Linked DNA regions of Caenorhabditis elegans. The protein of the gene in region 2 interacts with the protein of the main gene of each other region in a pairwise test. Each region holds a gene or a part of one and is shown on either strand. Other genes may lie near its edges. The genes, in order: copb-2 and rskd-1.

The links.
Region 1: the proteins of rskd-1 (region 2) and copb-2 interact in a two-hybrid assay, tested with the Caenorhabditis elegans proteins (one large-scale study listed by BioGRID).

What each region holds. Positions count from the first base shown.
Region 1 is NC_003282.8:9,457,740-9,461,665, reverse strand, and holds the start of copb-2 (putative coatomer subunit beta'), read right to left. Parts: upstream 1,936-3,926; 5' UTR 1,930-1,935; coding exon 1,768-1,929; intron 1,699-1,767; coding exon 1,210-1,698; intron 1,165-1,209; coding exon 1,031-1,164; intron 982-1,030; coding exon 749-981; intron 637-748; coding exon 321-636; intron 274-320; coding exon 1-273. UniProt on the Caenorhabditis elegans protein: The coatomer is a cytosolic protein complex that binds to dilysine motifs and reversibly associates with Golgi non-clathrin-coated vesicles, which further mediate biosynthetic protein transport from the ER, via the Golgi up to the trans Golgi network.
Region 2 is NC_003283.11:12,286,690-12,290,615, forward strand, and holds the start of rskd-1 (PX domain-containing protein), read right to left. Parts: upstream 1,927-3,926; 5' UTR 1,914-1,926; coding exon 1,845-1,913; intron 1,775-1,844; coding exon 1,510-1,774; intron 1,406-1,509; coding exon 1,296-1,405; intron 880-1,295; coding exon 779-879; intron 733-778; coding exon 681-732; coding exon of another isoform or gene 663-680; exon of another isoform or gene 524-662; intron 479-523; coding exon 346-478; intron 302-345; coding exon 168-301; intron 1-167. Other genes in the region: srpa-68 (Signal recognition particle subunit SRP68), read right to left, coding at 2,627-2,812, 3,084-3,926.

The DNA.
Region 1 (3,926 bases), on a different chromosome or scaffold from region 2:
GTGAAAATAAAGCAGTCCCCGATCCAGAATCCCGTCTTCACAGCTTCTGCCTGTTCTCCAATAACCTCAAACGCGTCTTCAATACCGTCTTCGGTCACTTCTGTTGCATTGGCAACTGCTTCAGCACTGTACTTGAGAACGTAGAATGAATCATCTCCACAAATTGCGACCATCTCTCCGTTGTCACTCCAATAGATGCTCTTGGAAGTAATTTCGATACGACGAACAAGAACGGCTGATTCCCAATCAAAGAAGCACAAAGAGTTGTTCGATCTGAAACAAAAAATTAAATAAAAGTCAATTGATAAGAGTTCAAAAACCTCAAGGCAAGAAGTGGTCCACCAGAAATTCCCTCAAGTACCATATCTGAACGAATTGACTTGTGATCCTTGAAGTTCTTCTTTATCTTCACATTGGTGGCAGATTCACGGACAGCAAACATATTTGGATCAACAGCCCAGACAAACTCGAGTCCTTGTCCGAAATCCTTGTTTCTGAGAGCCATTGCAGTATAAACAATGTATTCTCCGTCACCACAAGCGACAACAAAACGTCCATTAGATGAATGAGCAAGGGTTTGTGGATAGATTTCAGAAGATCCGAGATCTTTTACAGAAAGCGGCAGACGTTCTCCATCTGTAAATGAACTGTCTTAGAGTGATAATAAATGAACACAATTTCTCTTTTTTTAATACTTTCAGAAAACATGTGCCGAACTATACAAAAGTCGAATGAAAGTTTTCCAAACCTTGAATGGCTTCCGACTCTTCAGTTGAGATTGTCTTCAGGTTAGCTTGCTGAATTTCGGAGTGCTTTGCCCACAAAATCTTTCCAGACGAATCCATACTGACTGCTGGTTCTTCTCGGCCTAATTTCAACGTGACGGAACCTTCGTCGTATCCGATGGCAATAGTGTTGGCTCCTTTTTGAGCTTGGATGCACCAAACACGTTCCAACCCATAATTCAAGGTTGTTTCCAGTCTAAAAATTTTAAATTGTTGTTGTGGAAATCGTACTTTAATGTTCTTGCCTGTAGGTGTTTGCATGCCACAATCTAACAGTGGAGTCTTCGGATCCTGTGATTATCAATGGCAGTTCTGGGTGGAAACAAACTGAAGACACATTTTGCGCATGTCCATCGAGCGTTTGCACACACGTTTTATTCTGAAAATATCATTTTGGATGAATGCAAAGAGAAAAAAAACTTACTTGGTAATCCCAAATCTTGACCAGATGGTCATCAGCTCCAGAAATAATGTATGGTTTCTCTCCACCATGATAGTAATCGACACAGTTGACTCCTTTCTCGTGTCCTTCCAAAGTGAAATTCGGAACATTCGATCCGAACTGCCATACTTTGACAGTTTTGTCAAGAGAAGCAGTTGCAAAAGTGTTATTATCTTTTGGATTGATGGCAATCTGCATGACATAATGAGTATGCCCTTCGAATGACTGTTTCATTGCCCATTTGTTATCCCAATCCCACATTTTAACAAGCATGTCGTCGGATGATGAAATGACGTAGGGAAGTGTTGGATGAACAACGAGCGATCGGAGATAATCAGAATGTGCTTCGAATTGATGAACTCGTTCCAATGTGTTGTAGTTGAAAACTCTAATATGCATATCGTCAGATCCCGTGACAACCCAGCTCTTTCTTGGAACGAACTTCGCTGCACGAACTGGTACGTCACACACCTGCAAAATTTAGATTCAGTTATTTCGTAATTTCATGAAGTTTGCACATAAATTTGAAAAAAAGCTTACTTCAAATGACTTTACAAGCGTTTGTGTTTCGTAATTCCAGATGTGAACATTTCCATTGTAAAGAGCAGCTAGAAGCCATGTTTCGACTGGATGCAAGTCGACACATTTCACGCGGTCCGAACGAGCCAGAAGCTTTCTTTTTACATCAAGTCGGAGAGGCATCTTGTTCTGAAAAAAAGCTAAAATAAATAAACTCAATGTAAAATTAAGCTGAGCACGAAGAGGAAGATTTGCAAATAGTCAGCTTATAGAAATAAAATAAAACCGAAAGAACATTCAAAAATCGATAATATTCTGGATTTTTAGAATTCAGATGTTTAAATCAACCGAAATTAATCTTTTTTAGAAGAAAATCTTAAAATTCATCAAAAGATACGTTGGCGAAACGATAGAACACTCAAAAGGTAGAGGCGCATCCATCGCCAACTCAGAAAGCCCCGATCGTATCGAGACCACAGCGGGAAAGTCGGCGTGCCTTTGACTTTTTTGTCTGCGTTTCTCACATTTGTGAGGTGTCTCTTACGAACGGTGGCTGCTTCGTGGCAGATTTTATAAATAAAATTGCATTCAGGAAATGTTGTAAAATGAATGAAAAAAAATTACGAGAAAAATCAACTTTTTTTGAAACTGATAGTGAAGTTGTTGAATGTTTATGCAAATTTTGCTCTGGACAACCTTAAACGTTTTAGATTTTTCAAAAAACTCAGTTATATCTTAAAATCGAAGAGGCCCCCTTTGCAGCCTTAGTTTTACCTGATTATGGCAATCTTCTTGCTTATTGTTGTGTTCTCCACAATGTCCAAACCAAGAGCAATATTATAGTAGAAAGAGTACTCGATACGAGTCAGGAATAATAAGAATAACCGATTTTGCTCGTTCTTTTTGTAAATTATCAAGAGAATTTACATAAATTTAGCTAATTATTTATGTAAAATGTGTGTGTGTGTGTGTGTGGAAATGGTATGATTCTTATAATATTGACAACACAATGCTCAAATACAAATAATCAAAACGTAATGCAACAACTGGTAGAAAATAAATAGCTTTCTGTGGGACTTCAAAAATATGGAACTTTTGGTCATTTTCGTTGTGGTTCCATGGTACGAACCCATGTTCATACAGGGTGGGCCAAAAGTATGGTAACACATGAAGCGCTCTTTTACATGAGATTTTCGCGCGACTGCCACGTCATACGTACATTTTTCTATCGAATACTGATAGCTGAATAAATTTCCTTCAATTTGACCCAAAATTTGTAATGTTTCCCAATAAGGTGCGATTTTAATCACCTCGGCAATTTGGCGAACCCTTTTTAAAACGGCATTTTGGCACGCGGCACTTCCCACACAAACGCACCTCCCACGCACGCCAATAATTTTCAGATGTATGATTTTTATGTTAAATTGAAAGTTAAAGAAATGAAGAAGCGTTTTTGATTGTTTTTGTAGCATATAAAAATTTTCTGTGTCGACACTGGCGCCTAGCAAGAACCTTTGAATATTTCATGAATTAAACTTTCCGAAATTTACTCAGTTTTTTTGGTTTCACAAGGCGTAACGACCCACAAAATCAGCAGAGCTAATTTTTTTCTAAAAATTCTGAAAATTCAGGTCAAACCGTGCCAAAAAGTACTAAAATGAATACTGGTGCCGCCGCTCACATCCATCTTTCTGGCGACTGTGTCATTCAAGACCTAAACTACTGCCACAGTCCGTACAGAAATACCACGATAGAAATTTTTTGGATTTTTGTTTTTAAAGAATCTCCAGACCAAGAGCATTCTTTGAACTATAAAAACTTGTAAGATACTTGATGGATTCCTCGAGAAAAATGTAGAAATCCCGCAGAATGCCGACTTGCGTGCCATAAAGATCGTGATCTCAAAAGTTCTGAAGGCCTGCAGCAATGCGGATGGGGATATTTTGAAAATTCAAAACGTTAATCTGGTCAGTATTTTATGGAGAACAAAACTTGTACACATTGATGTAATAACTCCCTCCACACGTGAAGTTATAGAGCTGCAAACGTGTTACCATACTTTTGGCCCACCCTGTATTTACTAATTCTGTGCACGACTTATGAGGTGAACAACGAGTCTCTTGTTCTGTTCTCTGTGTGTGTGTTAAGTTGCAACCTTGATGCAATTAAAAAAAAAACCC
Region 2 (3,926 bases):
AATATGCTGCGCAATACGCATTCTTAGACATTTGTGTTCCCGTAATATATCATACGTTAACCGATGCGTGGAAGTATTTTAAATGTTATTAAACGTAAAAGTTTGAGGATTTGAAAAAAAAGTTACTTTAATTATTTCTACAGTTTATTTAGTTTTGAAAGATATACCTGAATGAGACTGCTGGCTGCACTTTTATAACATTGAAATGCCAACTCATACGCATGTTCTTCTTCAGCTCTTTGAGCCGTTGCCACTAGCTGCCCAGCCGTAACTAAGTAGTCAGCTGGAGTCTCTTCGATTTCTGAATTTATATATTTTTGAATTCGCCAAAAATAAGTGTTCTACCAATATTATGATGCGTAGATCCTCGTAATCTTGGGAAGAGTCGTTTCATTGAGCTTTTCCTTGCAGTTCGTTGCTCTTCGTTTGAAGTTTCGGAAGCTATAGCCACGTCCGGAAATTGAAAGTCGTCGCCAGTCTGAAAAATGAGTGGATATTTCAAAAACTATTTTACTATTTAATTGAAAAATATTTTTTATTTCTGATTAGATTTTTATAATACATTAGACACTACAAAGAAAAAGTTCAGTGAATACATGGATATGACAGAACTTATTGAGGTGAAACTGAAGTGAACGAATCTTTTGAGCGAAAATAATAATTTAGCAAGTGGGACTGACTTGTTCGTGTGTCGGTTCCAAGAGAGCAGCGTGGTTCGGTGAATCGGAATCACTGGAAATAAATTATTTTATAGAAATGTGTACACAGAGATACTAACCTGGAATTTGTATTGGGTTGGTCCAAAATTGAAGAAGAATTGTCATAAAACACCTCGTTTCCAGTGATTTCGTGTGCCGTATAGGTTTTTTCTTTGGCTTTCTGAAATGATAAATATGTTGTTGAGTGGAAGGAAAAGTTTCAAAATGGTCAAGAGAGTTTCGATGAAATTCGGTTTGTACTCGTGCCAGTCTGTTCCCTGGAGACTACTATGGGAGTCTTCGAAAATATGGAAATATTCGAGAAGTTTTCAGTTGTTTTGTTTTAATTTTCGAGAACATTTTCTCAAAAGTAATACAAAAAACTGAAACAAATCGTAAAATTGACGAGCATCGCGTCAACAAGAAACAAACAAGGGACCAATTTCTTTGTCAAAAAGAGAAAATGTGCTAGTGACATCATCTGACGAGACCCTTTTCTTCAGTGTGTGAGCATGACTGTCTGCGTCTTATCTGACTCTTTTTCGTATGTAAATTCTCTCGGCGTCTCGATGCTTTAGCATTCAGAAAGAACGTTACCTCGACAAATTCGTGTAGAAGACGTGATTTACGTAGAACTTCGCTGTCGAACACAAAGTTTAGGCAGGCTTCTATAGCATGTCGGCGCTCTTGGATGACGGATGGATCCGCTGAAAAATTAGAAGAAAAAATAATTGAAGAATAGGATTAAAAATTATTTCGAGGGAAAAAGTGACACAAAGTTTAGTATTTAAGGAAATTACCAAAAACCTACAAGATCCGATCAACTTTCCCGGTGGAAAAACAGGGAAAGTTCCTCGAAGATACAGCTGTTTATGGAGTTTCGAGATTGCCGCATGAAGTTTTGTCATTTCTTTATATCGAGTGCTCAATACAAAAGTTCGACGAGAAACGTCATTTGCGACGAGATGGGATGCCACTGGATTACATTCAATTTCGACAGTGTAAACTGTATGCGAACCAGTAAGATGTTTCTCTTCGGAAATTGATGTTACTGTAGAGCTGCATGACCAGTCAGTCTGAAAATTAGCTTATTGGCAAGTTGGAAAAAACTTCTAGAAGTATCTATAGGAATAAGCTTTTATTAACCTTAAGTTGGTAAAGTATCCTTCCTATATCACTTGTGCAGTAGCTTTCATCTGGATATAACGAGCTCATCTTTCATACTTTCCTGAAATGATTGAAACTTAAAACTTCAGAAGTTGTAATTATTAACAAAAAATCAACATTCAGGGCCAAAATAGAATTCTACACATTTAGAACTTTTCAAAAGTTGGAAAAACTGGCAGATAGGAAAATAAAATCGTTCGGGTTTGTTTACAATTCCGTGTCATTTCAATCATGTTGTCTGCGTCTCCTGATTTTGTGAAATGACCAACAAGATCGATGAGGTTGCGAAAGAAAAGAAGATCATAAAATATTTTTGCAAAGGTTTTTATATTTTCTCACCTTTATAGAAAAATGGGAAACTTGAATTCACAATAAATATCTTTATTAAAACGAGACTCTGATTCCGAATAGTACGAAACGCCGTTCCAATAAAAAACGAAGTTTCCAAGAAGAGATGAGGGCAGGGGAAAGGTGTGGATGAAGGTATCAAATAAATACCTTAGCTATTTTTGAATCAAACCATAAAAAAAGAGCAAAAAGTCTGGGGTAGAAATGAATATGGTATCACAAGAAATTTAGAGAAATGTTACTTTGTAACAAAATCTCAGAAAATTGAAGACAGGAAAGAACAGAAGAACTGTGTGAAAAACCAGAAAAAAAACATTAAATATGAGAAACTGGGCCGATGCAAGAGGTATCTATGGACAACGAAACAACAGTAACAAATGATAATTAATACTCTATTCAACGTCTTCGTAGTCTTATTTATTTCCCCAGAAACTCTTTTTCCACCCGGAAAGCATTCCAGTAAGTCCTTGTTGTTCTTCTTCTTCTTGATTTGAAGTTTTTGACGAAGCAGCTGCTGCAGAAGATCCTTTCGCTGCCTTCTTTGGAGTAGCATCACGATCTTTTTGGAGTTTTTCAAGACGGTCATCAACATTGGGCATCTGTAAATAATTGTTTAAAACTAAATACTTTTTTGATGAATAAGTTTAGATAAAATTTTGATCAGCAAGTTCAAAAATATGATAAATATAAATTACAGCATAGCATCAAACATGTTTTCTCTTTGTTTTTAATGGAAAACAACGATTAGTGTTTTTTTTTCAAGTGAATACGAATTGTCTTACTCTTGCAAAAGTCGAAAAATTGGAATTTCTAAACTACAAAACGATTTTTTAATTTATATACCAAGTTTTGCGTGATGAAAAAACTTACGGTAAGATGGAAGTTTGCCAAATCGAAGAAAATAGGTTTGTTCGGCATTGGAATAAAAGCTGGTGGTAAACTGGCAACTGGAATTGTCTTTTTATCTTTCAAGGAGTTACGAACATCCCATTGACGCCATTCATTGACTGTCTCCAGAAGTGGGCGTTTATCAATAATCTTGGCAAGTTCCGAATCGGTTTTAACATCTCCAGCAGCGGAAGCCAAACGAGCAGCTCGTACAGTAACCTTCGCAGATTCCACTTCAGATCGGAGCTCATTCAATGACGATTGAGTTTCATTGGTGATAAATGAGCTCGATTTTAATTTCTTAAGTTTTCCTTCTGCATCTTGAACTCGAGAAACAGTTCTGTCAAAGAGAGCAGCGGCTTCACTGTACTTATGAAGAGCAGAATAAGAAGAAGCCATATAGAAACATCTGAAAGCTCTGTAGTACTCAACTTTGACTTCAAATGCTTGAATAAGATTTTTGTCATGATCAGCTCCCGGGATTTCTGCGACTTCTTTGTAAATTTCGATAACAGAATCGTAGAGTCTCAAAAGATCTTGAGGTTTGCTCTTCTTTTCACTTTTTGTGTTATCAATAATAGCCAAGTAACGCGAAGCAGTTCCGTTCATTTTCAGGAATTCCAAATAAGCCTTGATTGATTGAAGAACAGTCGTGTCAGCATTTTCAGAACTTTTACGGCGAATAATATCCGAAATTCGATCTATAGCATCACGAGTATCAGCGGTGGCTTTTTCAAAGAGAGCCATTTTCTCTTTTGGAGTTTGGCATTGTGCCAATTCGACTTCTGTTTGCTTCCATTCTTGAACAACTTGCTTTGCTTTTTC